Macaca fascicularis: one gene and its partners. The protein of the gene in region 1 interacts with the protein of each later gene in a biochemical or structural test. Links are inferred from orthologs where the notes say so. Each region holds a gene or a part of one and is shown on either strand. Other genes may lie near its edges.

The links.
Region 2: the proteins of CDC5L (region 1) and PRPF19 form a complex in vitro, tested with the Homo sapiens proteins (2 studies listed by BioGRID, with this or other methods). The link is inferred for Macaca fascicularis from reciprocal best matches to the Homo sapiens genes CDC5L and PRPF19.
Region 3: the proteins of CDC5L (region 1) and PLRG1 form a complex in vitro, tested with the Homo sapiens proteins (3 studies listed by BioGRID, with this or other methods). The link is inferred for Macaca fascicularis from reciprocal best matches to the Homo sapiens genes CDC5L and PLRG1.

Annotation. Positions count from the first base shown.
Region 1 is NC_088378.1:127,129,919-127,140,110, forward strand, and holds the start of CDC5L (cell division cycle 5-like protein), read right to left. Parts: upstream 5,054-10,192; 5' UTR 4,932-5,053; coding exon 4,887-4,931; intron 2,511-4,886; coding exon 2,407-2,510; intron 368-2,406; coding exon 206-367; intron 1-205.
Region 2 is NC_088388.1:13,363,475-13,373,554, reverse strand, and holds the start of PRPF19 (pre-mRNA-processing factor 19), read right to left. Parts: upstream 5,183-10,080; 5' UTR 4,981-5,182; coding exon 4,962-4,980; intron 4,049-4,961; exon of another isoform or gene 3,772-4,048; intron 2,504-3,771; coding exon 2,354-2,503; intron 2,178-2,353; coding exon 2,101-2,177; intron 1,520-2,100; coding exon 1,378-1,519; intron 1,295-1,377; coding exon 1,221-1,294; intron 1,105-1,220; coding exon 1,042-1,104; intron 185-1,041; coding exon 143-184; intron 14-142; coding exon 1-13. UniProt on the Homo sapiens protein: Ubiquitin-protein ligase which is a core component of several complexes mainly involved pre-mRNA splicing and DNA repair. Required for pre-mRNA splicing as component of the spliceosome.
Region 3 is NC_088379.1:159,463,369-159,473,517, reverse strand, and holds the start of PLRG1 (pleiotropic regulator 1), read left to right. Parts: upstream 1-4,967; 5' UTR 4,968-5,053; coding exon 5,054-5,062; intron 5,063-6,436; coding exon 6,437-6,543; intron 6,544-6,826; exon of another isoform or gene 6,827-6,898; intron 6,899-7,522; coding exon 7,523-7,665; intron 7,666-8,315; coding exon 8,316-8,369; intron 8,370-9,158; coding exon 9,159-9,249; intron 9,250-9,447; coding exon 9,448-9,535; intron 9,536-10,149. UniProt on the Homo sapiens protein: Involved in pre-mRNA splicing as component of the spliceosome. Component of the PRP19-CDC5L complex that forms an integral part of the spliceosome and is required for activating pre-mRNA splicing.

The sequences.
Region 1 (10,192 bases):
TTTAAATTATTATTTTAGGAAGTATATAATAGAAGGCATAATTTTGATCAACCATCTGAGATTTGGAAAATATTATCCAATGGCTTTAGCTTTGGCTTTACTCACATCCATAATTAAAAGTTTAAGAGAAAAAATACTCAAAGTTTATTCAGCCTCTTTCAGAACATATACATATATTCTATGCTCTTTCTGAAGACTCACTTACAGAAGAAATTCATAGTGTTCTAAGCACTGGGCCGCTGTTCTTCCAATGATTGGAGCAATGGTCCTCCACTGAGTTGGCATCAACTTGGCCAAGTGCAAGAGTTTTTCCTCTTCTTCTCTGGACCATTCTGTCTTCTTAATGCTTGGATCCAGCCATTCATACCTATTAAAAATAGATCATTTTATATATTAGTCAGTTACCTGGCATAAACATCGAATTTGCACAATGGATGCACTGACTTCTAGTGTCTGAAAAACAAATGCTCTCATCCTTCAATTACTAAAACTGTTCTTTTTGACAACAGAATATTTGCTGTGTGGTCACACTTAACCCAGCCAATATTCACCATCTCATCACATTCTATTTTATTTTAATTATGCAAGATTAGTAATGGTTTAAAAAGGTTACTTCACTGTATCATGATCATATGCTTTCTTTCTCAACTATCATTTGTTTTTATTTATTTTTACACTTTTCTAGAAATTTTGAAATATTTGGAAGACAATACAACCTCACGTTTTGTACAGTGTTTCCAGTTTTCATACTATTTTCTCATGCTTTGGTTCTCACACCAAGGCTTATTTCTTTAAGCATTTGACTTACACTCACTAAATTCACCGTATCCTTTCATTTGATATGTTTTAAAATTTAAGTAAAACTACTACGACATCCCCTCCGTCTTTCCTAATTCCCCACCCAGCACACCTTTTCCATCCAGTCTACTTAGCTGGATGACAGGCAGGCAAACAGGACTTACGTCCTACCAAATATGAGAGCAGGAACTGGTACCACTAAGACAAACAGAAATCGGGACCATTTCTTCAGCCTAAAAATCATCTTCCTCTTTAACAGCCAATTTCTACATTCTTTTTTTTTCTGAGATGGAAAAAAGCCTCGTTCTGTCACCAAGGCTAGAGTGCAGTGGCACCATCTCAGCTCACTGCAACCTCCACCTCCTGGGTTCAACCGATCCTCCCACTTCAGCCTCCCAAGTAGCCACCACACCGGGCTAATTTTTGTATTTTTAGTAGAGACGGGGTTTTCACCATGTTGGCCAGGCTGGTCTCAAACTCCTGGCCTCAGGTGATCCCAGCCTTGGCCTCCCAAAGTGCTAGGCTTACAGATGTGAGTCACCACACCTGGCCAATCTCTACATTCTGATCCTTTCCCCTACACAGGTGCCGAGGAAATTAGGTCATTCTTGTACAATCCAAAGTATTTTCCTAACGCCACATGAGTTGGGGGATGGTGCTAAATAACTCATGCTAAGAACACACTAAATAGCTTCACGTGTCCACTATCCTATCATTTAAGAGGTGACACTAGCCGGGCGCAGAGGCTCACACCTGTAATCCCAGCACTTCGGGAGGCCGAGGCGGGTGAATCACGAGGTCAGGAGACTGAGACCATCCTGGCTAACACGGTGAAACTCCGTCTCTACGAAAAATACAAAAAAGTAGCAGGGAATGGTGGCAGGAGCCTGTAGTCCCAGCTACTGGGGAGGCTGAGGCAGGAGAACGGCGTGAACCCAGGAAGCGAAGCTTGCAGTGAGCCGAAATCACGGCACTGCACTCCAGCCTGGGCAACAGAGTGAGACTCCGTCTCAAAAAATAAAAATAAAAAAGAGGTGACACCACAGGCTCAGGGCTGGCTTATGTTTTAACATATATAACATATTAAATATGCTTAATATATAACATATTAACTATAAAATATATAATATTTCAACTGCATTATGAGGAAACTCAACTACTGTAGGCTCATTTGGAAAATCAGCCGTTATCACTTATTTCTTTGAGAAAGTAAGTCCTAAAACAGCTAACTTATGCACTTCTAGAACACAATTAATTTACAAGCTGGGGCTCATCTGTCCCTGAAAGTAGACTTTGTATGCTTCACAAAGCACTCTCAAATACATTAACCCATTTAGATGACACCTCACATCTCTATCAGTTAGCATCAAGTATTATTATCCCTAATTGGGAGAAGACAAGGGCAGGGGAGAGGGATAGAAAAATGGCTTGCCTAAGATTACACAGGAAGAAAGTGACAGCTAAGTCAAAAATCCAAATTCCATCTCCCACTCCATGCCTTGTTATATCATGATGTCTGCTTCCTTTGATAAGGTTCACAGAGCTGACATTTTCCATCATCACGATTAAGCTCCTTTTCTGTTTTCCACTTATTAAACTGGTACATACCATCTGGCTTTGCACTGCTTTGCTGATTTTCTATGCAGCAATGAGGCAATCCTAGACCACTGGTTTTTCCCATATTTCATTACCGCTGCTTTCAGAATTTCATCCTAAAAAAATTTGCCAAAGAGTACATTCAGTCACAAAACTCAAAGTGAGAAAACACAAAATTTAAATTAACTCTGATAGGGCTGTTAGACAGACACATAACATGCACATTCACACCCCCTAGGTTAAAAGACTAAGGATGAAAACCTTATTAACTATAATAATAAACAGCAACCAAGGATTAAGAAATTAAGAAGAAATCCCTTAGAAAGACATCTACCCACCCTTACACCACACTCTTCAATAAATTGGGAATGGGAATAGCCCAATCTGAGAAACCCTACTTTACGACAAAGATTAAGAAAAAGTATTCTTCAACGTGTGGCTGTCCTTCTCTTCAAAAAGGACAACTAAAAAACACAACAACAACAAAAAGATATAACTCATTCATTTATAGTCACTCAAAAAACACTTCCGCAACATCTGCCTTGAAACAGGTCTTCAGGAAAGGTCTTATCAAACAGGACATATCCAGGCCTCAAGAAGCAAGTTGGGACTCTGGTGAATGTATTCTCCAATCCAAGCCTCCTGTTTCAAGTTTACACATGGCATTTCCCCGCCAGTCCCTTAACCCTACTTATGACCCAAATCTCAGGTCTAACCTAAGAATTAAATATTTCTACCCCAACCCCACCAGTCAGCTTTCCTTCCAGAGACCCCCCGTCTCTGGATACCATATCACCAGGGCACCCATCACAACGTGGAATGCGCCAATCTCAAGGCAGCCTGGCAAGCCAAGTCACAGACAAGAAGGTTAATGGAGTCACAGATGCATGCACTTGGGCGATTTTACTTCTAGGCTTTTTTTCCCACATTGCATTTGAGGTACATGCTTCTTGAGATACCCCACTCCATCCTCTGCATCTCCCATGATCAAAGATAATGTTTTAAAAAGACTGCAGAGCTTTGACCACTGCATAGGAATCCTACTGTTACTTGATTTTATATCTGTCTCTCCCTCAGAAATCATCTCTTCTCAAATTGAAACAGACTGCTTCCCTCGGAGCAAGCTGAGGCAGTTTTCACTGTCTGTATTTGTAACTCGGTTGCAGTACTACTACACTTAAATACATTTTCAACTAAACAGATACAGCAGATACCTACTCTACTTGATTCATTCTGCAAACACCTGTCAAGCAACCTACTTCATGCTGGTTACTGTCCTAGGTTCTAGGGATACCAAGACCTGGTCCTCTCGCAATGCCATCTGGTGAGGTGAAAGAGGAACCAGCACTTACTCAGAGGCTACTATGTGCCCTACTCTGTTCTAAATATTCCAAACGTATTAACTCGTGTAATCCTCAAGTGAGGTAAGTATTATTATCCCAATTTAGAGAAATTAGAAAACTGAGGCTCTCAGAAGTTAAGAAACTTAACCAGTACCACACAGAGGATGTGATGCTTACAAAAAGACAAAGCGAGCTTTAACAAACGGAAGAAAAAGGTACCATGAGAATACTGGGGGTGCAACTAACTCTTACAAAGATTCCAATAAGTGTTTCTGACCTAGGTTTGAAGGATGATCATAAAGATGTCAAGTGCTAGGAAGGCAAAAGACGTAAAAAAAAGAAGGCATAAAATTTAACGAAAAAAGGACACGGAGCATGAAAAGATATGATGTGCTCCAGAAACTGATAAATTCGGTACACTTTGAACACAAAATGCACTAAAATCTAATTTCTATTTCACTCCCACTCTACTGCCCTTTGGCTCACCAATGGCACTATCCACTACGTTTCTGGAAGCAGAGACTATCCTAAGCAGTTTTTCCTTTCTGGCTTCCATCCAGGCAAAGGCAGTGACAGAAAGAGCCAGACCTTGGGATCTGTCGGGATGGCACACAGGTTATGCCCTGATAACAGGTAACCAGAGAGACGCGGTAACGGGCTCTCTGAACCTGGTACTCAAACTGCTTCCCCTCTGCAAGGAAGTCAATGAAGAAAGTTGTGGCCACGGCAACTTCTTTATTTCTGAGTATCGGACAGAGCCGTGATGCCCGGACTACGGACTAAGAGTGGATGGTGCCCCAGGAGACCAACTCTCGCTGAGTTGGAACTCTGAGTTCCTCCAGGGGCGCGGGGGTGGGAGGGGGCGTATTCAAGTCAACAAAAGTTCACTAAGGGCCTAACAAGTGAGCTTGGAGCTGAGAAGCCAGGTGGTTACATCACGGTCCCTGTCCCACTGGCGCTCGCACAACACGGGTCCGGACACACGGAAAGGGCCCCGACACACGGAAAGGGCCCCGCGGGTCCGCCCCCAGGCTGCCCTCCACGCAGATGCCACAGGGTCTCCTCCTCGCCTACCCAAGCTCCGCGCGCGTGCGCAAAAGCTGCTAGAGGGGAGCGGAGGGCAGCGGACGGCGGGAAAAGGAGACTTACCTCGGTGTTCCTCCACACGCCCCCCTTGATCATAATTCGAGGCATCTTGGCGGCAGGGTGTCTCGGCAAGCAGCCGACAGGAGGTTCAGAGAAGTAGTAACGGCGCTTGGGCCACGGGACTCAAAGCCGCCACTTCCTCCAAGCGCGACCTTCTGCTTTGAAGACCTGCGCAGGCGCAAGGTGGGAGGGGGAAAAGCAAAAAGCAAGTCTCGCGAGATCTGGGGTGGCTGAAAGGGAAAAAGTGTCTTGTGGAAGCTCAGCTGTAGGAAGACTGACAAAAAACCATCAAACCACTCTGGCCAAAGCGCCTTACGCCCCGCGCATGTCCAAAACCGAATGGAAGAAACTACGGCTCTCGCGAGATAGCGGCGGTGAAGCTTGGCTGAGAACAAAGTGGTGGGATTGATCGTAACGTCACCGAGTGGCAGAGGCTGGGAACGCCACGCGTGTGGAATTTCAGCACAGTTGCTACGAAGAGGGCTTTGTTAATTTATTAATCTAGCTCTTTTAAGTATTTCAGTAATAGGAATTTATTCACAGAATACTCAGGAAAAGCCAGTAGTTTATTTAAGGCTCAGTTTCCTAACCTGTAAAATAGAGAACATAGTAATGCCAACCTCACAGGATTGTCGTAAGGACTAAATGAGATCATAGACCCAGCACAGTATCTGATCCATAATAACTGCTCCAACACAATAGCATCTATTATTGCAAGGAGGGCAACGCCAACTTCACCCCGTCCCCAGGTGATCCATGCTTGTTCCAGAAACCCGCAGAAGCGTCACGTCAGAGTTTTTAATTCATCGCTCAGTCTGGATTAATAATACCGTTGATATGCACTGGTATTAGAAAACTCGAGTTGGGTTGAAATCTTGTGAAATCTTGACTTTCTCGTACGTTTGGGTAATAACCTTACTGAATCTCAGTATCCTCATCTGAAAAGTGGAACTAACAATACCTGCCTCATAAATGAGGCAGATTAACTGAAACATAACTAAAACCCAGTGAGGTAGGGATTGGCAAACTCTCTGCTATCCCACCCCAATTATTCATGCAGTCTCCTTCTTCACCATTCCAGAACATCTCTGACTCCATCCCTGGAAAATATCAAAATATTTAATGGGTTGGGAAATGCCCTATTTATAGTATTTAGTATTTTTATAGTGCCTAACTCTTTATATTTCTCATTTCTCCGTTTGCCTCTTCTGAAAGAGCTAAAGAATTTTCTTTCTTTTTCCTTTTAGCTTTTATTTACACACATTCTGTACAATTATGGTCGGCAAGAGGGCATTTTCCGTGGCCACCCTGGTAGTATTTGCCACTCAAAGGTTTATGCTGGCGGGCAGCCCGCCCTTGAGCTATTTACCTGTGTGGTGGATAGGAAACCATCGGACCTGTGGCCAGTTAAACTCAAAGTGTTTTCATTTGGACCTCTCCTGTAACGGGGCAGTTTTTTTAATTTTTTATATTTAATTTTTGTGGTTACATAGTACATGTATTTATGGGGTACATGAGATATTTTAATACTGGCATACAATACATAATAATCACATCAGGGTAAATGGGGTATCCATCTCAAGCATTTATCCTTTGTTTTACAAACAATCCAGTTATAATATTTCAGTTAATTTAAATGTACAATTAAATTATTTTTTGCTATAGTCATCCTGTTGTGCTATCAAATACTAGGTCTTTGAGAGTTTAACACTGGAGCATAGAGGAGGTCAGTCTCTGCTGACTGCTGAGCATCCACCATGTGACACCCAGAAGTTGTCTACCACCATGTTTTGGATTAAGGGAAAAAAGCAGGTAAAGAGAGAAATGTAAGTCCTGACCATGTCAGAGTACCTGGATCCAGCATGCTCCTGAGTCCCAGCTGCATTCCTGTTCTTGCATTCTGATTATTAGTTTCCTGTTGGTGTTAGCCAGTTAGAATTGGGTTTCTATTATTTGTAAGCAAGAGTCCTAACAATTCCAGAGATGGATCAATACTCTCTCAGAGGCCTTTCAGATCTCACATTCCAAGAGTTGATGATGGCTTCTCCTTCCATTCAGGGCCACCTCTATACCATATGTCACCTTTGTGAAAACTAGAAAAAGGTGCCCCTTCCTCAAGACACTTTATGCCACCTGCTGGAAAATTGTCACAAAATACTGGCGTTCTGAGAACAGGACACTCTTACAAGAAAATTGGATCTACCATCTCCACTATGTGAATTCCACCCCTAGAGACATGCATTGTACAACCTACTCATCCAAATAAAACAGCCCTGTCAACTGTCCCTCATTTCACCTTTGAATCAGATTGTATATCCCCTTTCAGAATTCAGAAAATGCAACATCGTGGAAGTCCTAGGATGTCTGAAACCAGAGCACTGTAGCCACAAACATCAGAACGCAAACACACTGTCCTCCAGGATGCCCTGCTTGGCCAGTCTCCCCCGTCATACTACTGCAGTCTCACCAGCCAGGTATGGGAACCCTTACAAAGAGGCTCCAGGGACTGCCAATAATCTTTTGAGGGACAGCCATAAGAAGCATCTACCATCAGGGAACCAGACTATATGGTCGGTCACTGCGAATCTTTGGTAAAGTGAGTGGCCACTGCTAAATAGTCTCCTCACTCACCCAAGGCATTTTTCCCCAAACATGTTCCTTAGAACACCAGTTACATAAAATATGTCTTTAAAAAAAAAAAAAATGGTTTGTATGTCCTCCCCTCTTGCAGAGTCACTGAAATTAAAACCTGTAAGAAGCTGTCAGATGAAAAAAATCTGTTTCTGCCTGTTGAGAGTTCAATTGTATTCCCCCAAAATAGATATGTTCAAGTCCTAACCCCTGCTATACCTATAAATGTGACCTTATTTGGAAATAGAGTCTTTGCAGATCTAATCAAGTTAAAATGAGATCATACTGGAGTAGGTTGTCCCCAAATCCAATGACTAGTGTCCGTATAAGTGGAGAAGAAAAAAGATACAGACCCACAGGGGGAATATCATGGGAAGAAGGAGGCAGAGACTGTAGTGATGCAGGTCCAAGTCAAGGAATGCCAAGGATTCTGGCAGCCACCGGCAGGAGAAGGCATGGAACACATTCTCCCTCTGAGCTCCAAGAAGGAGCCAGCCCTGCTGACACTTTGATTTTGGACTCCCAGCCTCCAGAACTGTAAGAGAATACATTTATCTTGTTTTAATTGTACTTAGTTTATTGTACTTTGTTGTGGCAGCCCTAGGAAGCCAATACACTCCTTTGCTAATACAGCAAATCCTTGAATAACATCATTTTGTGCAAGATCGTTTCATGATAACATTGATGAGGCCAGGCATAGTGGCTCATGCCTGTAATTCCAACACTCTGGGAGGCCAAGGCAGGAGGATTGCTTGAGCCCAGGAGTTTGAGACCAGCCTGAGCAACATAGTGAGACTCCGTCCCTACAAAAATATTAAATATTAGCTGGGTGTGTTGGTGCACATTTGTGATCCCAGCTACCTGTGAGGCTGAGATGGGAGGATCACTTGAGCCTGGGTGGTCGAGGCTGCAGTGAGCCATGATCACACCACTGCACTCCACCCGGGGTGAGACCTCATCTCAAAAAAAAAAAAAAAAAAAAAAAATCCACTTGAGGCCAGGGCCACTGTCTGTGTGGGTTTCTTCCAGATACCCTGGTTTCCTTCCACATCCCAAAGCTGTGCAGGTGAGGTTCATTTGCAAGCCTGCAGTCTGAGTGAATGTGGGTGTGTGTGAGTGTGCCCTGCAATGGGATGGTGTCCTGTGTCCTGTGCAGAGCTGATTGCTGCTTTGTGCTGGGATAGGCTCTGGCCACCTATCACCCTGAACTGGAATAAGCGGGAATACTTATCTTGTTCTTATTAATCTTTCTTTTCTTTGAGACAGGGTCTTACTCTGTGCCCCAGGCTGGAGTGCAGTGCCACGATCTTCCGTCACTGCAGCCTTTACCCCCACCCCACAGGCTCTAGCAATCTTCCAACCTCAGTCTCCCGAGTAGCTGGGACTACAGGCATGCACCACCATGCCTGGCTAAATTTTGTATTTTTTTTTTTGTAGAGTTGGGGTTTCACCATGTTGCCCAGGCTGGTCTCAAACTCCTGAGCTCAAGTGATCTGCCCTCCTCGACCTCCCAAGGTGCTGGAATTACAGGTGTGAGCTACCGTGCCCCAGCCTAATCTTTCTTAAATGTATGCATAGCTTACACTTACTTCACTGTTCAATATTAGAAGGGTTTTTGTCTTTATTTAGAAGTTTGGTGATGTTTTGTGACCAGAAATATGCCATAGAAACTTAACTCTTGTTTGTATCAATTAGCCTATGGTAAAATTGATTACATTATACATCCTTTTGCTTAAAGTTGCAGTTTCCAAAAACTTATCAATGATAAAAGTAAGGACTTACTATATAGCGTTTCCCAACTAATTTGACCCTAAAAACCTTTTTTCTTATATATCTATTGACACTCATGAAACACAATTTGAGAAACTCTGGCTCAGGAAAAAGAGGTTAAAAGTCCATTCGACTTACAAAGGGCAACCAGAGATGTTAGCAGGAGGATTTTTAGGTTGCATTGTCCCCATTTCCCTATCCCTCACCCCTCTCTGGGGAGCTGGTTCTGAATGGATTGACATTTACTTAGCAGAGAAAGCAATCAAAATTCTAGTTTCCCTTTCACCCAGTTTTTTTACCACCAAGAAACTATGCAGGAAAGGGCTAAAATTAGGGGCAAAAGCCTATGGCAACAGCAAGGCATAGTTTAGAGGCAGGGTTAATGACTCTCACAATCTTCACCATCTCCCCAAATAAACATGCATAATAATTTACATAAAAATATTATCCTGCTTTGCAAATGCAGTCATGTATCACTTAATGACAGGGATACATTCTGAGAAATGCATTGTTAGGCGATTTCACTGTTGTGAGGACATCATAGAATGTACTCACGCCAAACCTAGATGCAGTAGTCTATTACACACTTAGGCCATATGGTATATATAACCCCTTGCTCCTAGGCTACAAACCTATACAGCATGTTACTGTACTGAATACCATAGGCAGTTGTAACACAATGGCATTTGTGTATCTAAATATAGAACAGGTATAGTAAAAACGTTTATCAGTAAAATGTCTTCTAATAATTGTTTAAAAAAGACATTGGCAAAACAATAAATAAAGAAAAGATACAGTAAAAATATGGTATTATAATCTTACAGTACCACCATCATATATGCGGTTTAGAGTTTATCAAAATGTCATTATGCATTGCATGATGATACCATTTCAAGACAGGTCCTCTA
Region 2 (10,080 bases), on another chromosome or scaffold:
CAGTCTTCCCTCTCTGAGAAAATGAAAAAGCCCCCAAAGTACAGCAGCAATGAATCCAAGATCAGCCAGCCCCCTTTCTCCTAAGGGGTCAACTGCCTCCCACCAGGCCAGCTCTTTCTCCTGGCTTCAAAAGAGAACTCACCTTCTTGCGCTCCGTGGTTAGCACAGTGGCTTTGTCTTGAAGCTGGGGAAGAATAGGCTCAATGTGAGACAAATTATCTTGCAAGGAGAAAAGCACATTGGATGCTGGTCACACCTGTGCTTTCACAAGCAACACCCAGAATTTGCTATCTGCCAATTTCTACATTACAGGCTTAAAGGCATTCTCTCTTCTTACTTCCATCCCAGCTTTATAAGGGGGGTGTTGATGACCTTATTTTACAGCTGAGGACACTGAGCCTCAGAGAAGTGAAGTCAATTGCCCAAGGTTGCAGAGGTGATAAATAGCAGAGCAGGAATGGAGGCCAGGACTGTAGAGCTCCCATAGGTCTACATGCCACTCAGCCAAGGGCTCAGACACATGCTGACAATTTGAACTGCTCAGAAAGACACTAAAAAGCCCTGCAAATGAGAATCCCACTGGACTTGCAATCAGGAGCCCAGCTCTGCCTCTGATGTGTCTTTCATCTGTAAAATAAGGATTATAATTCCTGTCCTATTGCCCTCATAGAAAAAAAGCAAGAAAATATATAAAAGTAGTTTACTATCTGCAAATAATACCCAAAACAATAAGGGCTAAAAGGTGCACTTATCAGTAATTAAATCATTTAGATTCCCACATCAAGCCTATAAAGTGGATATTATTATATTCTCAGTTTAGAAGCTACAGAAATGAAACTTGGAAATCGGCTAAGGAAGCCAAGGTCATGTAGCTTACAAGTAGTGGCATCAAAATACAAACCCAGGCAATCTGGGCCCAGAATCCACGCTCTGCACCACTCAACTCCCAAAAGCATAGCGATTTTAGTCACGATGGACTCTAGACAGATGGGGAAAAGTAAGGGCCCATCAGCACTCCCACCAGGTGAGAGCAGGACTTACCTTCTGAATAATCTCTGGGGTCATTCCCACCAGCTCACCCAAATCCATTGGCTCGCCCGCACCCTGAAGAGAAGAAAGGTGAGGGTGAGGGGCACAGAGCACCAAAGACACCTACATAAGGACAGCTCTGTGGGCCACTGCACACAAATGGGCTGTGGTAAGGGAAGGGGGACACTTACTACAACACTTGGTTGGGAACTTGGCACAGCCTGGGGCACAATGAGACCAGCCTGTGGTTTCAGGGTAGCCAGAGCTGAGAGAAAAGACGATGTTAGAAATGGGATATTACAAAGCAGAACCAGCTCAGGGTGGGGGATGGCAGGGGGCAGGCTGCACCTTCTCGGGCAGCAGTGACTTCCTTGGTGAGACGGGCAATGACACGGCAGGCGGCATCGTGCTGGTACAGAGCGTGCGACAACTCTTGGCGGGTTGTCTGCAGCTGCTGGCGCAGAGTGAAGCTGTGCAGCATGACTGCATCCTGGGAGAGGCAAATATTACTGTGAGCTGAGGCGGGGGGCGCAGGGAGCACCCAGTGGAGCCAGCTCTTGGGGAGTGGATGCTGCCTCCTATCCCACAGCCTAGACCAGTATCAGTGACCCAAACAATATCCGAGCACCATGAATATGCCAGCAGACACTCTTGAGCTCCTACCCCAAGCCAAACACTGGGCACACAGACAGGAGTGGCAGTCAGCTCTTTCCCATCCCTACTTTCCCTAATTTACTGGCAAATTCCAGCTGTCATGCCGTCACCTCTCTAAAAGTGGATAACAACACTGCTGCTGCTGCTATTTATTGATTGCCCTCTTTGTGTCAGGCACTGTGCCAGACAGTCCTGCAGGATGTATTCAATCATTCAGTTCATAATTCTAGAGCACCTACTACGTACCAGGCGCTCTCAGTGCTGGGGATACAACAAAGAATAAAACAAAACCCTGATGTCACAAAACCCTGATGATGATTATCTAAATAATTCTCCATCCTTCCCACCCCCAAGTCCTAACTCAGCGATGCATTCTCTTCAAGTGGGGAAGATGCTAATTCTCTTGCAGGAACTCACCCACTCATCCTGCAAGGCTTTCAGAATGGCCGGGATGCTGGTGGCTGAGGGAGGCTTGGGCCGGATTGGGTGAGCAACTGCCGAAAGGGAAAGTAGGTATGAAGAGCATAACCCAGGGACCTCCCCTGCCATCACATCTTTTCCTTTTAGCCATAAACAGCCCACCATCTCCTCCTCCAGTGCATTGGCACCACCTCCCATCCTCTCAGGCTCTGAGCTAAGATGGCCCTAGACTAAGGCAGCCAATAGGCACCTTTGATGTCGATGAGCTGCTCCTCGGAGAGAGGCTGGTTGTTGATGGGGTCGGTACCATTCTCTGCAATGTACTTCTCAATGAGCCGCCGCTCATAAACATGATTAGAGACAGGGGACACACATGGGTGCTCCGGCACTTCATTAGAGACTGTAGAGAAAAGGCCGGCAGTGAGCTTGGAGTGAAGGCAATCTTGAGCCTAGAGGATTCCTCATCTGCTATTAGCCCCAACAAGACTAGGCATCCTCACAATCAACTAGCAAAAAGCAAGACATCTGACCCTAAGCCAGTTCTGTACTGGCCCCAGAACGCTTTCCAGCTGTGGAACTAGCTTTTCCTTTAGTCTCCTGACAATCAGATAGTCAACAAATAATTATTAACAACTACTATGTGCCAAGCACCTAGAGAACAGCAGTCCATTATCGCCACCTAATATCTGAACAATGATTGTGTACTCTATGAATACAGTTTACTCCATGACATGGAGACACACATGAAGCCATTCAAATCCCTTCCATCCATCTTAGTCTATAGCTCCAGAGGGATTATCAAAGAAATCATAAAGTCTGAGAATATAGGAATAACAAACTCAGTTTCTCCCATTCTCTCACAAAACAAAATACTTCTGTGACAGATGTGACCATCCGGGTGTCCTCCAATTCAATTCTGACACCAGGTACCTGGAGATAGTGTCAGATCACACGGGTTGAGGTCTCAGTCCCACCAGACTCCCCCACCCCTTCAGATGCCAATCGCAAGCTCCAGGTTGTTTGACCTGTTCTTCTGATCTACCAGCTGTAAATCAGGGTTCCCATGACCCCCTTTTTGGGTTCAATTAATTTTCAACAGTGACTCACAGAATTGTGGGAAACACTTATGTTGACCAGTTTATTATAAAGGATATTACAAAGGGTATAGATGAAGAGGTGCATAGGATGAGGTATGGGAGAAGGAGTACAGAGTTTCCCATGCCCTCCCTGGGCACCCCACCCTCCAGGAACGCCCACATGTTCTGCTATACAGAAGCTCTTTGAATCCTGCCCTTTTGTATTTTTATGAAAACTTCATTACAAAGGCATGATTCAATAAATCACTGGTCACTAGTGACAACTTCAGCCCCTCTCGTTCCCCAGGTAAGTGGGAGGTAGGACTGAAAATCCCAACTTTCTAATACCCTTTAGTCTTTCTAGGTGACCAGTCCCCATCCTGAAGCTATTGACGTCTGCCAGCTACCAGTCAACTGATTAGGATACAGGCAGACACTTATCACCTGGAAGATTCCAAGGAGCAAAGTGGCAATCATTACAATAAAAATATTTACATGGCACATGTCTATGTGCCAAGCACAATTCTAGGCATACAGTACAGTAATTCATGTTCACAACAACCCGCAATAGAGGTATCATTTACACTCTTGCCTGCATAGACTGTGCGCCCCTTGAGGATAAGGATTACAGCTGGTCTCTCACTTCCAGTACAATGCAGATGCCCCCAGGGCACTCGGTAAACATCTAACGAATGAGTGAACCCTGCCAGGAAAGATAGTGCTGGGGAACGTAAAAGAGAGCTTTCCCAAGACTGGAAGGAAACAATGAATGTGAAGGTACTTTGCGAGCTGTAATTTCTTCAATGTGAGAGATTCCTTTTCCATCATTTCCCTTCCTTCTTCCCCCTCTCTGGATCAACGTACAGGTTCTGAGAAGAGACGGAGGTGAATAGCAAAAGGGAGGGGAAACGAGTAATCTGATGAAACAACGAAAAGGGAAAGGAAAACGTATGTACGTCATGATAAAATATCAAAGGGAAAGATAGTGGAAGGTATGGAAAAAGCAAGGATTCAGGCTCCAAACTCCGTGTCACCTAACTACGTCACCCAGCTCTGCCATTGACTAGCTACGCATTCTTAGATAAGCCCCGCTCTTCCTGAGCCTTGCCTCCTCATTTGCAACACCAGGATCTTTTCTCCTTTAGGGAATTCTTGTGAGGATAAAATGAGATCCTAGACTTGGAAGCGCGTTGTAAACCAATAAGGGCTTTATAAATGTGCGCTGTTTTTAATTAGTCATACACTGTAAGGCTGGGAGCCATATACCTAGCTGCCAGCCTTGCCTACCTCTAACTCATCATGTGACCTTTACAAATTGCAAAAGCTGCGACTATCCGAGCAAGGCCTCACAAAATATCCAGTGCAATGCTCTCAATTTTGCAGATGGGGAAACCGAGGCACAGAGCCTTAAGCCAATTCACAAAGCCAACAGGAGGCGGACCCTGGACAAGACCTCGGGTTTCCTGACTCTTACATCAAGGCTGTTTCCCCTGCACCAGCTCCCTCTGTCCAGGCCTGTTTCCACTCGGTAGAATGAGGCGACCTGCCTCAGTAATGCCTGCGACAATAAACCTCCGGCACTATGTAAACTGCGGAGCACTGCGCAAATGCACCCCGCTCCGAGGGGAGGGCTCCGGGGCTGACAGGCCGCCGCTCTGCCTCTGGAGCGCCCCATTCCCGCCTCCACCCCGGCCCCGGCCCCGGCGCCGCAGTGGCCCGCACACGCTCCCGCGCCGCTCTCCGGCCTCCTGCGACCCGCGCTCGGCCGCAGGCAACACTCACTGGAGCAGATTAGGGACATGGCGCCGTTGCCGCGCTCCCAGGCGCCACACGCCGGACTCCGGGACTGGCTTCTGAGCCTCCGCGAGCCACTTCCGGTCCCCCGCTGCTGCCGGGACTGCTCAGCTGCGAGCTGGGAGCCGCCAGTCGAGCGATGCTCGCGTAGCGCTTCACGTGGGAATGGGGACAGCCGCGCGCCACTGCCTCCAGCACCTAACGGAAATGGACCTTTCCCAGAATGCAGCCGGGCAGGAAAGGGCCCGCCACGAACACTCGGTTATTTCCGGATTGACTCGGCTCGTTCCGTAAAGCGCCCGGGGATTGGCGGGGGCGTCGGAAGAGAGGAGACTCGAAACTACATTTCCCATGATGCAGTGAGAACTTAAAACCAAAGCAATTGGACAGCACTTGTTTTGACAACTGTGCGGCACTGTGTCACGGGACCCTGGTCTTTGAAACCTTGGTGTGCGCGAGAATTTCCCAATTTCCCATTGTTAAAATGCAGATTCCTCGGATCTGCGTAGACAGACTGCCCCCCACGCTATTCTAAGTCAGGTGTTTCTCGGGCCACCCTTTAAGAGACACTGCTGGATGGCCTGGTGTTAAAAATACAGAGGCAGATGGGTACAGGAACTAAGAAAACGGCTAAGACAGCGTTTTGGTCCTGACTACTACCGTTTCGCTCTGTGATTTGGGGCAATTCACATTGGCTTCCCTGCCCTTTCTTCTTTGTCAAAAGACAAAATCACAACAAATTTAGTTTAAAGTTTTTTGTTTGTTTGTTTTGTTTTGTTTTTGTTTTTGTTTTTAAGAGACGGACTCTGGCAATGTTGCCCAGGCTGGAACGCAGTGGCTATTCACAGGTGCAATCGTAGCAATCATGGCTATCACAGGTGCATCCTGGAACTCCTGGGCTCAAGTGATCCTTCTGCCTCAGCCTCCAGAGTAGCTCTGGGACTTAGGGTGCAATTCTATAAAATTGGGCAGCGCCTTACACTATAAAATCTAATGGTTGTTCCAATGAGCTGAACAGGGGAGCTTGGTTTTTTAGACAGAAAAGGACTGAGGAAAACAGAAACAACAAAAATGGGATTGGTCATTTGGTAATCTCAAAATTACTTTTCTTGTAAAGGTTAAAGTGGAGGGTACTTCTTTATCATGCCATGTAAAACTTGCCTGTTTGGGAATTTAGCTCTCCCTGCCAACACACATGCACACACACACTCTCTCTCAGAAGGTCATAAAGATCTTAGTTTCAGCTCATTGGGGTGGAACTTCAGCAGGACTCTTTTTAGCTTGGTCTGTTAGGCCTAGCGCAAGAGCTCAGTCCAAACCAGTGGCCTCTTATCAATTTATTTTGTATTTTCTGTTTCTCTTCCAGCTCAGATAGTGTATGATTCTTTGTGGATATCTGTAAGATAAGATACTCTCAGGAATCATGCAAAAGACATGTGGTGTGGACTATAAGGTATCAAGACAAACGGGCAGGATGAACAGGATGTGTGAGTGAGAGGGACTTTGACAGGTGGGCAGTATTCAGAGGAGAAGGAGAAGGAAAGGCATTCCAGAAGGAGAAACAATGTAAGCAAAAGCTTGGAGAGAAAAATAAAAGTTACAGGTACAAAAGGTAGTATGGCATAGTGGCCAAGAGCATGGACTCTGAAGTCAGACTGTGTGCTCAAATCCTAGCACCACCCAGGTGATTGACTGTATGAACTTCTCTATGCCTTAGTTTCCTCATCTGTAAAACAGAGGGAGTGATGACAGGGGTAGAACTAACTCGCTGAACTCTTATGAGGAGTTAATATGCAAAAGGGCATTTCATCTCTCTCTTGCACCAACAAAGTAGCTTGCCACTTGTTCCTTGCTTCCAGCCTGGCCTCCTCCTCCTAATCTACTTTCCACAGAGCAGCCAGTGATCCGCTTTGAATGAAATATCGATTCATGTTATTCCCCAGGCATTTCATTCATCCAACAAATATTGATTGGGTACTTCCTATGTGCCAAGCCCTATTCTAAAAACTGGAGATAGAAAAGGTCAACAAGAAAGACACAGCTTCTGCTCTTTTGGAGCTTACACTGTACTGGGAGTGGTGGGAGCACAGAGACAATCAACACTTAAGAAGAAAATTCCAGAGTAGTAGTGCTATGAATGCAACAAATCAGAGCAAAGTAGACAGAGGTGCTGGGGATTGGAGGAACGGCTGCTTTAGACAGGGCACTTAGAGAGTGCATCTTTGAGGAGCTGATTTTTTTTTCGCTGAGAACTGAATGAGGGTATGGAGCAAAAAAGTTTCTCCTCTGCCCTCTAAAGATTTGCTGAAATTAACTGACAAACGACAGAATAACAGGAGAAACGACATACAAGTGTATTAGTGTGCAAGTGTGCACAGCAGTCATACAAAATATGAGGCTCAAAGAAGGAACAGGTGGCTGATGCTTACTTAAATGGCACCCAGGAAAGAGAGAGATGGGGGAAATGTAGGCAATTTTGAGGGCTAGCAAATAATTTTTAGGGGAAATGAATGAGCCCCAAGAACAGACAATGCCTTGGGACAAAGTTCTTATGAGCTCTGGAGGAGGTGGCAACAAATTGTGGGAAGGTGAGGGGCAGAACTCCATTGTGAACAAAGGTTGTCTTATACTCATAAAGTCTCCCAGGTAATCTGTTATAGCTCCCTCAGAAGAATAGATTAAAAGTCTCTCTAGGTGTAGTGGTGAGTTGATGACTTTTAGTTTTTATTCTTCTCTAGTGGTTAATCTTTTCTGGTTATTTGATGAGTTTCCTGTGAAGAGGGATTTGAGACAATTGCACTTCTTTTGGAAGAAATTTTCTGAGATAAGGGAACTTCTAGAGAGAGCTTCTACCTGCACTTAGGATGGGGGTCAGTGGGCAAGAGAAGGTTAGAAAGTCCTTGGTTCTAAGGCAGCTTCTAAGACCTTCCCATTTCTTTTCATTCAAAAGTGCTCAGCATGCTGTAACCTCAGGACCAATCCAAACTGGGCCTACTCTTTTGATAATAGAATGTCATGTTCTCTTGTAGGTATGACAGAGCCAAAACTCCAAGTCATGTCAGCAGGACATGCATAATAGAAAATGCTTTGACATCTAACAACATCCAGAACCAATGATTCTTCCCTGTAGTACCAAGAAGACCTAGACATGAACAGAACCTAAATGCTAGAACTGTTTCAGGAGCAAAGGGTCTATTGACGAGAAAGATCCAGGGCGAAAATCCACCTCAACATACCCATGTAGTCAAATTTGAAGCCCTCCAATCAGACCCTGCCAAGCAAAAATTCCTAATTCTTTTCCTTGCCCTCTGTATTAGTCTGTTTTCACGCTGCTGATAAAGACATACCTGAGACTGGGCAATTTACAAAAGAAAGAGGTTTAATTGGACTTATAGTTCCACGTGGCTGGGGAAGCCTCACAATCATGGCAGAAGGCAAGGAGGAGCAAATCACGTCTTACATGGATGGCAGCAGGCAAAAACAAAAAGCTTGTACAGGGAAACTCCTGTTTCTCAAAACCACCAGATCTCATGAGACTTATTCACTAACACAAGAACAGCACAAGAAAGACCTGCCCCTGTGATTCAATTACCTCCCACTTGGTCCCTCCCTTAACATGTAGGAATTCAAGATGAGATTTGGGTTGGGATGCAGCCAAACCATATCACCCTCTGACCCCTTAAAACTTGCCCCAGTTAGGGAAAATTAGGGAGACAGATTTGAGCCATGCCTCCAGTCTCCTTGCTGGGTGGCCCTGCAATAAAGCCTTTCTCCACGCAAAAGCTGGTACCATAGTATTGGCTTCTATGTGCATCAGGCAGTAAGCCTCTATTTGCTCAGAAACAATACTAAAGCACCATACTTTGGGGTATCATTCTCTGAGCCCCAACCAGGGGTCATTCCTGAGGCCATGAATGAGAGAGAGAGTTTCTGGATGAGGAAACTTGACCCCAAGTCTTGTACCATCTGGTCCGTGCTGACCATCATGGTCTCACTTTATCTTCTCTCCAACCACATTGGCCTTTCAATTCCTCAAACATACCCATTCTGGCTGGTTTCAGAACTTCTGCCCGGACCACTTTCCTCTCCTCCCTCCCTCTTCCCCCTCCTGTCTCAAACCCTCCAATGTAAACTTCAGTCTCGCCTTAAATGTCACTTCCTCTGGAGCCCTTTTCATGGTCCCTGGTTTACATTTAGTCCACACAGCAAACTGTAATTGTCCTCCAAACCACTTCAAAGAACTGTAATCATTTAATTATCTATTTATAAGTATCTGATGTCTGGGTTCTCCACTAGAGTGTAAACTTCATGATGGTAGGAACCATCATTGTTCTGGTTACTTTTGCTCTCAGAGTGTAAGAGTGCCACATTGTGCCTGGCACATAGCAGGAACTTTGATTGTTGGTTGAAAGACAGGTTGCCTGACAGGCCACGCATCTCAAGTACCGTACTTGGATGTGTGGTAGGAAATAAAATGGATCCGTTTAGGAGAGGCCTTGAACCCAAGGTGGTTAAACTTGGGTGGTGATTGGGCTGGCAGCACAATAGCATGTGTTTGCATTTGAACTGTGGAGTGATAACTACACTTTTAGAGGTTTCCTCCGGAAGACACTTACTGGATGGGTTGGAGTGGGACAGACTAGAAGGAGGGAGACTCAGTAATTAATTGTTGAACCAGTCTTTATTGAGTACCCATAGTGTGTCAGCCAGGCATGATACTAGGTGTTGGTAATATCACAATGAGCAAAACCAGAGGTGCCCCTCTGCTGGGGAGTTTATGGCTATGACAGCAGGATGCAGGAAAAAGGAAGTCCCTTCAAGGCTTTTCCGTTTCATAAGCCAGTTCACAGGGAATAGAAAAAATTCAGGGCACTTGATTTTGGAGAAACAGGGAGACTTAAGGGAAAAGAGATACATGTATTGGTGCTGGTGGGTCCCTGAGGAAGGAACTCTATGCCTTGTTCCCCCAGACCAACGCTGCTGTTGCTGCCTGGGGAGTATGGGGACACATCGGCCAAAGACCCAGAAGAAGCTCAATTTGCCAGGTATCTTCAGTGGCAATCTGTGTGGACAAGTGACAGAAGATTAGGCAGGGAGAAGTTGCCAG
Region 3 (10,149 bases), on another chromosome or scaffold:
CCGAGGCAGGAAGGGTGCTTGAGCCCAGGAGTTCGAGAGCAGCCTAGGCAACATAGTGCGACCCCTGTCTCTACAAAAAAATTAAAAAGGTAGCCAGGCATCACAGTGCACACCTGTAGTTCCAGCTATTTGGGAGACTGAGGTAGGAGAATCTGCCTGACCCCAAGAGGTCGTCCACTGCAGTCCAGCCTGGGCAACAGAGAAAGACCCTTTCTCGAAAAAAATTGTCAGCTTGTTGATAAACTACCTATGAAAATGATTGCCGCCATTTACACTCTCATCAATATTTAGGTTGTCCCTCATCCTTGCCAACACTGGTTTCAGGTCAAATTTTAAAAATTTTTGCCACCTTGTTAGGTGAAATATGTTACCTTATTGTTATTGTGATTAAAATTTCTTTCATCAAGAGCACACTGAGAATCTTTTTAATTTACACATCAGCCACAATGTCAGTGGTCTATCTGTGAACTGCCGGTTCATGTGCCTTATCTTTTGAGTTGTTCATTTTTTCTGTTGATTCATGAGAGCTCTTTTCATATTAAGAAAATTAGCCCTGTGGCTAACATGCACATTACATGTATTTCCCAATTTTTCATTTTTCTTTTGTCTTTGCTTATGATATATGCAGACTTTGGCCTCATTTTCACTGAGTGGAATCCTAACAGCAGCATCTGCTAGGCTGACATGTTTGAAAAAGGCAGCAGCTAGAATGCCTAATGCCTCTTTGAGTTCCTTCACCAGCTGCCAGGCATTCAAAACATCACACAAGTTTATAAATCCAGGGGCTCCATTTAGAACTGTGATGGAAAGCTTAGGCTTCAGTGTGTATTACTTGCACAGGAGTCTGAGGAGGGATCATTCTACACTGCAAGGGCATCTGAGATATTCCTTTCCTGTACTATTTCCTGAGGTAATCTGAAATTGCTTCATCATATTGTGCCATATAAGTGAATGTGAATGCCTTCAAGGCTAACTGGCGTCTAGTCTCCAAGAAGGTGTCCTTACTCTTGGAGCTCTGCCTCTCTGTGGACACTGCCTCATAGTCCTCTGACACACCACTGTCACTGGATTGTGGTTTTTGGTGGCATCTCTCAGTAAGGTTACTCTACCAGTATCAATTTGCTTAACAGCGTCTCAACTGTTACACCTGGAGAAGCCACTCTCTTCAGGAAGGGATAGAGATTACAGGCAACAATCAGGCCTGGCCATATCAGCATTACCTTTTGGAATATTATGAGCAGGAACCCAGCATGGATTTCAGGATACAAAGTTTTCACAGCATTTCAGGAAATCCTGTCAGCTCAGAGACCTCTCTGACTGCCAGACCGGTATCCTTGACAGCGTTTGCAGTCCCTCCAGAAGGAGCAGTAGTGGGGCCATATGCACAGGGACGAGGGAGGTCCCTGATTCATGTTTTCACATCTCCTAAGTTTTTTTCATTTAGGTCTTGCACATTTTAAAATTTATTGCTATTTTAAATAAAAACCCCTTTCCCTGCTATATTTTTAACTGCAAAAACGAAAACTATTGATTTTTAATAACATTTTTCTACTCAGCTTAGTGAATTTTCATATTGTTTCCGATAGTTTTTTCAATTGGTTTTTTAGGTATAAAGTCATACCATTTGCAAATAAAGGTAACTTTGCATCCCTATTTCCTACTTAAACAATTTAATTTTTTTGTCCAATTGAATAACTAGTACTTTCATAAAAAATAAACGTGGATAATAGTGGTGATGGTGGACATCCTTCTATTATGACTAAACAGTAAGAATATTTTTAATGTTTCTCTGTGAATACGACACTGGCTTTTGGTAGCATATTTCTAAAAGAAAACCTAAAGGTGTCTAAAGAGTATTATTTAATATAAATAAAATGGGATCTATAAATATTAAGTAATAATAGTAAAATATTCAATCAAATGCCTTACTTTTCTTAATTATTCATGTCAAGAGGTATTTCTGCTAACTAAACTGAATATTAAAAATGTTTCTACAGATAAATTGTATTTTGTAACTAAGTAGCTAAGTTTTATAGAAACTAAATAAAATTTAGAATTCACTTACTTAAATGTAATGGAAAATATTTTTCATTGTCGTAAAATTTACAATGACCAGAAAAACAGAACTGAACTGACCTTTTATAAGCAATTGTCTGCATTACACATACAGAAAGACTGTGATTAAATTAATGGTTGCTGAAATAGCATCTTTTCGGGGTGAGCACATCACACACACACACACTCCCCCCCACACACACCCACACACGTACACCTTGCTAAGATATTTATAACTGACAGTTTATAACTGATAGTACAATCTAATTATTCCCAAAGTCTTCCCAGGCATTAACAGGAACAATAGCCCCTTCGCTGTTCCTTATAGTCCCAGAAGCCTCTGTTTCAACTATGCTACAAGAAAGTATCTGCTGATACTACCTTAGTATCTAGGCAAATTCATAGCATTGTGCTAAACAATTAAAGATCAAACTTTTGGAAGAAATGTCCAAGTATCATTTTTCACAGGTTTTGACCTCAGAAATTCAAATAAACAGTGATAACTCCCACGATTACTTTCTTTTGAATTCATGAACAATTTCAAATATGAAATTTAAGGGCTGGACATACTGAGTCACACAACTCTAAAGAACATTGCATACAGTGTTTTTGAAAGCTTGTATATTTAACCCTTTAAGTTGAAACAGGAAAATAAATAGTAATATTTATTATTTTATGATTATAAGAATCAGAAAACACTTCCTATAAAAAGTATCATAAAAAGCTGATGACAATGGCACTCGAATCTATACTCACATGACCTATCACTGTTCAAGAGCAAAGAACAATATTTGAAGGAGAATAAAAAGACTTTCTGTATTGGTGAGTTTAAAAAATCTTGCCTAAAGAAGGAGGGCTTTCCTTAAAACTTGTATTCTTGGTTTTACACAGACATAATACTAATATTTATATTAATAAGTTACTTGCCATGTCTGCTTTAAGGAGAGCCCTGAGGGCCCTTATAAACAGCAGTAGTGACACCTGCTGTTCAAATAAGGCAGCTTGGGGTGTCAGCCAGGCCATGTGTGTATCCTGGAGCCCTTCAAGAATCCAGTGAAACTTGTAGATCCTTTCTCAAGAAAATAAAACATATTCCCATATAAATACAAAATTTTCCCACAATATACATAATTTATGAATCCCTGAACTAAATAATAGGCTCACTTGAGTTCTATATTTATCTAAAATATTGTAAACTTTCAAGTGGATGACATAATTCTATAAATTCACGACAGTGTTTTAAAAGGAGCAAATTCGAGGCAATTTACCTCAATCATTACCATGTTGTTATGAGTCTGGGCCTATAAATTAATGTCTCCAGGATGATTAAGTATGTAAAAAGTTAATAGGTCCAACCAGACAATTAATATTTTCCATAGATATTAGTCTTGCTTAGGTTTCTATGGTTTTATTGTCATTTCAAATCATTGTTTTCTATAGTTATTATTCATAGGTGAGTATATTATTTAGTTCCTCAAGTATATATTTTTTAATTATAGTATTTTCTTGCAAGGAAATACCATCACCGGCCACTTTTACAGAAAATCAGTTCTTAGGACAAACTCACAGTCAAATTCAGGGATGTTTTATCTTCAAGCAAAAACATGACCTTAAGGCCGGGCGCGGGGTCCCATGCCTGTAATTCCTGCACTTTGGGAGGCCGAGAGGGGCAGATCACCTGAGGTCAGGAGTTTAAGACCAGCCTGGCCAACATGGTGAAACCCCGTCTCTACTAAAAATACAAAAATTAGCCGGGCGTGGTGGCGGGCGCCTGTAATCCCAGCTACTCCGGAGGCTGAGGCAGGAGACTCGCTTGAACCCAGGAGGAGGAGGTTGCAGTGAGCCAAGATTGCGCCATGGCCCTCCAGCCTGGGCGACAAGAACAAAACTCCCTCTCAAACAAACAAAAAACCATGACCTTAATGTTTTTAATGAATTTCCAAGTGACGTTGATTTACACTGCTATTCTTTTGCTAGATTGTTTCCCCCTCTCAAAGTGTATGCAGTACGCTGTCAGGACAGATCAGTGAAACTGAAACAGGGCCAGTAAAATGTTTTGTCTATTTAAGTTTGCAAATGCCCAAGTCCATCCATTTTTCTTTTTACATAGAAAAATAATTAGGTAGGGTTGATCAAAACCGGAGATTTTACCAGGGTAGGAAGCAAAAATACCAATACTTGGCACAAGGATATGTATAAATAAAAATGGCTAAAGTCTCCAATTGTGTCTTTCTTCTACCAGCTTTGAAAAGCTGTACCCTGGCATTGTTGAAGCCACAATAATCAGCAGACAACTAGGAAATGTCCAAGAGCTATGTAGCGTTGAGAAGTTAAAAAAAAAAAAATCTATTAGCAGAAAATGAATATGGGTTTTTCTTATATCTACATGTCAAAATTTTCCAAATTAAAACAGCCATTCCTCAACATTCACTCAGCAAGTGTTTACTGAACTGTTTAAGCGAAATTGTTTTCAGGTGTTAAGCCTACAAGTGTCCAAGTGCTTCTCGCCAGGATTGGAACCAGGAGACAGAAAGCAAGCAGGCGACCTCCAAAGAGATCAAGGCAGCGGAAGCGCCTTAGATAGAGCCCACGGGAGTTTGCTCTCCAGAGAGCTTAGGCTCTCTGAATAAAAAGCATTAAACTCCGGGGAATACAGCATGAACAACCAGGGCCCCAGCCAAGACATTGAAGGCTGAAGGTAAGGCAGAAAACATAATTCGAAGACTTCTTCAGAGGAGCGAGTGAAATCCTCCAGTCAGGCGCTTCCAGGTGTCTCCCCTCTACAGCCTCGAGCCTCCGCCCTAGGGGCGGTCCTGAGGAGGGAGACCCGCCTCTTGATCCCAGAGGGCCGGGGGAGACTAGCGCGCGTGCGCAGAGCTTGCATCACATCCGCCGCCTGGCCTCCCAATTCCGGAAGGTGCAGCACAGTTGTGGCGGCGGGTACTGCGTTAGTGATTAGGGTTTCTTCTCTGCCGGAGGTGGGATACGCGGTAGCATCATGGTCGAGGTAAAGTGACACTGGGACTCTCAAGAGTCGTTTGTCTCTGGACTGTTTTTCTTTGGCAGTGGGCTTGGGGGATTGAGAGTGCTTGGAGTCCGGAGAGAAAAGAGGCTACGAGGGAAGCTGTTTGGCCAAGGCCGGGTGGTCTCTTCATCGGGTTTTCGGGGAAGGGGTAGAAGCCGGATGAGAACCCGAGTCGGAGGTTCAGTCCGGGCGCTAAGCCTGAGATAATTCGTCCAGTCCTCGTTTGACTCTTGGGAGCTGGAAACTGTCCTTGGAGGCGGGGCCTCTGTTGGTGTTCGACCACTGGTACTCGCCGCCCTCGGGGCAGTGTCAGTGATTCTGTGCCCGAAAAGATTGGCGGTCTTCTCTATCTTGCGTTCAAGTCGTCTCTTATTTCAACTCTACTCCCAGAAAAACTTGCCATTCTTTACATCTTTCCCTGGCATGAACAGCCAGCCATTCTGTTAGCTGGTCTTGTCCATGTTACCCCACATGTTTATTGATTCCATTCACTTTTCTCCGTATCCACTGCAGTCCACCTTAATTGAGACCAACATCATCTTTCACCGGGCCTGGTGCATTAGCCCCCCGTTGATTTCCTTGCTTCCATTTTGTTCCATAAGTTGTTCTGTTTAAAATGTAAGTTGTTCATACCTTTCTTGTTTAAAACCCTTTACTGACTGTGTTGCTAGAAGAAAACATAGGCTGTTGTAATAGTCTAAAATACCTTACCTAATCTGGACCTTGTCTACCCTTGCAACCACAAAGCACCATCTCATCCACCATATACAGCTGTGCCGCCCTTCTTGTATTATTTCAGTTAACTGAACATTTTTTTACATGACATTTCCATCAGCCTGGTTCGTTTTTATCTCTGTTTTGTGCAAGGCTAACTCCCTTTCTGCTTAAATATCACTTTAGTGAAGTCTTTCACAATTATACTTAGTCCTTCGTTTCCCGACCCAGTGCCTTGCTTGTTGCCCTCATAGCACTTATCAAAATGTGGAATTATTTTACTTTTTATTTGTCTGTTTCCTCTTGAGCACAGGGACCATGACTACCTTTTATCATTCTATTGTGAGATTCTAGCACGATACCTGCCAGACACACAGTAGGAGCTCAGTAAATATTTATTGAGTAAATGACTAAACTATGGCATCACTCAGTTGCTATACCTGAGGTTCTAGCCAAAGAGGAGCTTCCTCCTCTTCTCTGAACTTGACTCCTGTAGCTCGCAACAAGTAGCTATGGTGAGTGGTATAAAGCTTTTTACATATTTAAACATGTGAAGTGTATAATCAATCTGACGTTAGGTTATGATTTGTGTAATTTGTAGATAGGTGTGTAATTACTTTTTTTTTTTTTTTTTTTTTTAAGGAGGTACAGAAACATTCTGTACACACACTTGTGTTCAGGTCATTGAAGAGGACCCATGACATGTTTGTAGCTGATAATGGAAAACCTGTGCCTTTAGATGAAGAGAGGTTGGTATAGTTTTTTTTTCAATTGCTGAAATATTTAACATTCTAATACTGGGGGAAGAGAGCAGGAAGAGGGAGACCTTTAAAGATAAACTGGCAATACTCATGGGCTAATTCAATAATGAGTGGTGTTTTGGCATAATTTAAGCTGATTTAACTTTTTTTTTTTTTGGCCTTTTACAGTAAAAGTTCCATTAATTAATTGCATTTTACAAATACCCAGTAATTAAGAGAGTCCCTTTTAGGTATTTTATTTTATAATCAATCACTTTGTATGTGCTTTCAGCTTCCCGCTGCTCTCAGAGCCTTGCTGAGCTGAAATTGTACCTGGCCAGTACCTCTACTCCCATCTTTTCTCGTTAGTATGATGAAGATTTTTGAGTGGTGGCATATTTTTGGTTCTACATATCCAGCTCCAGTCTGGGATTGCATTATGTGCAGTGTTCCTTCTTTGTCCTTTACCCTTTTAAAATCGACTTAACTCCTCAAACAAGCATTTATATTTAATTTGTAAAGTAGACTATTTTTAAAAGTAATATAAGTGCATTTCTTTTTAAAATATTGAACCAATTAAGTACTTTTCTTAGTTCTAACTAACCTGTTTGGATACATCTAGTAAAGGTTGCTGTAGAGTTTTTACTATATTTATATTTTGAAGGAAAGCGTATTGACTTTGAGGTTTCTTAAAGGGTATGTTAGTTTCTATATATCTTTCAAGCAGACCCTTGATAATTTATCATAAAATATTTTCTATTAGGTAACAAACTAAAATATTACTTAGGTTTAATGAATGCTGTGTGGTGGAATGTGAGCAAAAGAACAGATATGGTGGGGAAATGCACTTGGAAATTTTTGATTCTTTTAAATACTACTTAAAATCTTACTAGAAACTTTTCCTACATGATTGGGCAAACTTAAGCTGTCTAAGTGTTTGTTTTAAAGTATTTATGGATACGTTCTTATGTTTATAATTTCTAAATAGTCACAAACGGAAGATGGCAATCAAGCTTCGTAATGAGTATGGTCCTGTGTTGCATATGCCTACTTTGAAAGAAAATCTTAAAGAGAAGGGTCCTCAGAATGCAACGGATTCATATGTTCATAAACAGTACCCTGCCAATCAAGGTGAGTATGGTATTATCAGAAATGTCAGACGTATGTGTGAATTTTAAAAATAGAAAAATAAAATGTGTTATTTTTGCCCCTGCTGGCAGGACTTAGGTGTGGTCATACAGTATTTAATGGCTGTACCAGTATTATAATGGAAGTTTTTATCCTCGTGGGAATACTGAGACATTGGTTGATGACTTTTTTCTTATAGGAAATAAAAATGGTAGTATAATGATGGCAGAGATTCTTAGAATGTGGAGAAGGTCACAGTAGAGATTAAAGGAAAAAATTGGAGAATATTCTTAACCTGTGGGGATACCATCTATCCTGTCTATAATTCAGAAAGATGAAATTAAATACTGAAATCTTAATAAATGAAGAGAATTCAAGCTTCCACAGGAAATTTGCTTGGAAGAAATACCAGAGTGGATTATCACTTGATAGGAGGGCTTCTTTGTATACCATTGCTATATAGCAAATGGACAAGGACATGGTTTACAGAGGTCAAAAGTGACCAATTTCCCTTATTTCTGAGGCTTAACTTTAGTTGAGAAAATGTGATAGATCCAGTTGAAAATGTAATATTATTTGATACTTTAAAGAGATGATAACTTTTATATATAAGATAAATTCACTACTGTTGATTTTTTTTGTCTTTTTTCTAGGACAAGAAGTTGAATACTTTGTGGCAGGCACACATCCATACCCACCGGGACCTGGTTAGTGAGCTGTTGTATATTGAAAATATCTTAAAAATGTCACATACATTTTCACTAACGAGCCAATAATGACATTCTTGTTGCCTGTAAAATGCAAGATAAGTTCAATAGCCAAGCATCCATGCATAGCTTTGTAGGTGATAATGAATACTCATGTGCCTTTATTCAGCAAACATTCTTGAGTATGTATAATTTTTCAGGCAATATGCTAGGAATTCAAAGACAGTAAAACTGTTGCAGGCCTAGACAAATTTATTATCTGGTGGTTTAGGCAGACATGTAAATATCACCAAGCTTATAAAAATGATGGGAATGTTAGAGGCAGTATCTTAGAAACATGTCCTCTGTCTGTATTAAGGTATTGGCCCACAGATGGAGTGGCCAGTATAACCGGGTAGAGGACAAAAGGCTTAGTATATATAGAAAGTGCAGGAAAATTGGGTGCTTCTGGTTGTAGTAAGTTACAACCACTCTTGGAAACATTCTGTTTGTATTTGAGGAACTGCTTAATACTGACTTTTGAAACTAATACCCAGATATAATGGAAATTAACTTTACTGTTCTGGGCTGCTTTAATACCTTGTAGGCTGTGATCAAATTTGAGTTATGTGTTACTAAGCAGTATTTATTGTAGAAATTAAAAACAAGATGAGCAAAACTTAATCAAAATTTGTATCACTGCCTGGAATTAATAAACGTTTGGAATGTTTTCCTTCATCATTTTATTTTAAGTGCATGTAAATGAATAATACAAAGCTACTAAAAGAAATTGATTTTTCATTTTAATAGGGGTTGCTTTGACAGCAGATACTAAGATCCAGAGAATGCCAAGTGAATCAGCTGCACAGTCCTTAGCAGTGGCATTACCTTCTCAGACCAAGTATGAAATATTATAATTACAAAGATCTTAAAAGCATATTTCACTGTTCACGTTTTTTCTTTTTAAAATTTTTTTATAACTATTGTATGACATTTTCCTTTATCAGGACTTATAACAATTTAAAATAAAGGGTTAGTTTTGCAGAATACATGACTGGAGGCATTAATTACTTTGAATATAATATTTCTTTTGCCTCAGGACTGATGTAAATCGTACTGCACCTAGTGGAAGTGAATACCGACATCCTGGGGCTTCTGACCGTCCACAGCCTACAGCGATGAATTCAGTAAGTTTTTCTGCGTCATATAGCAGGTTTCTAACTTTTTAAACATGTTGCCTTATTTCCCTCTGATCGAAAGTCTTACCTTAAATACTAAAGAAATGAACACTTTGGAATTATTAAGATAAATAGCAGCCTGAACTAGTCATTCATATTTCATAGCCCTAACACTCAAGTTGGTAGTAAATTAACATTTTTTGGAATGCTGTTATTTGTCTACTTGTACGTTGTGTATAATATGTATTTTGATAAAGATAATGTGATGTTGGTATTTATTGCCCACTATTAAAAATGCAAGGAGAGTTTTTCTGAAACCTGTGTTAGTATGCATTGCATATGAAAGTCTTTTTTTTTTTTATTAAATTTTAAGTTGGTACAGTTATGTTGAGTGCTATTAGTGTTGTACTATTCATGGGCTATACAACTAGTCTTATAAATGAACATTTAGAAATAAGTTTATCTGTAGGTAAATGGCAACTGGTATTAGTATGGTAGAAGTAGTTGTAGAATTATTTTCTATAGTTATTTTATTGATTTATTTTTCTGCCATGTATTTTATTATGCTGCCACTTGAAATAAGTGCTGGCTTTGCTTCTCAGCTCATTATGCAATTGTTTTGA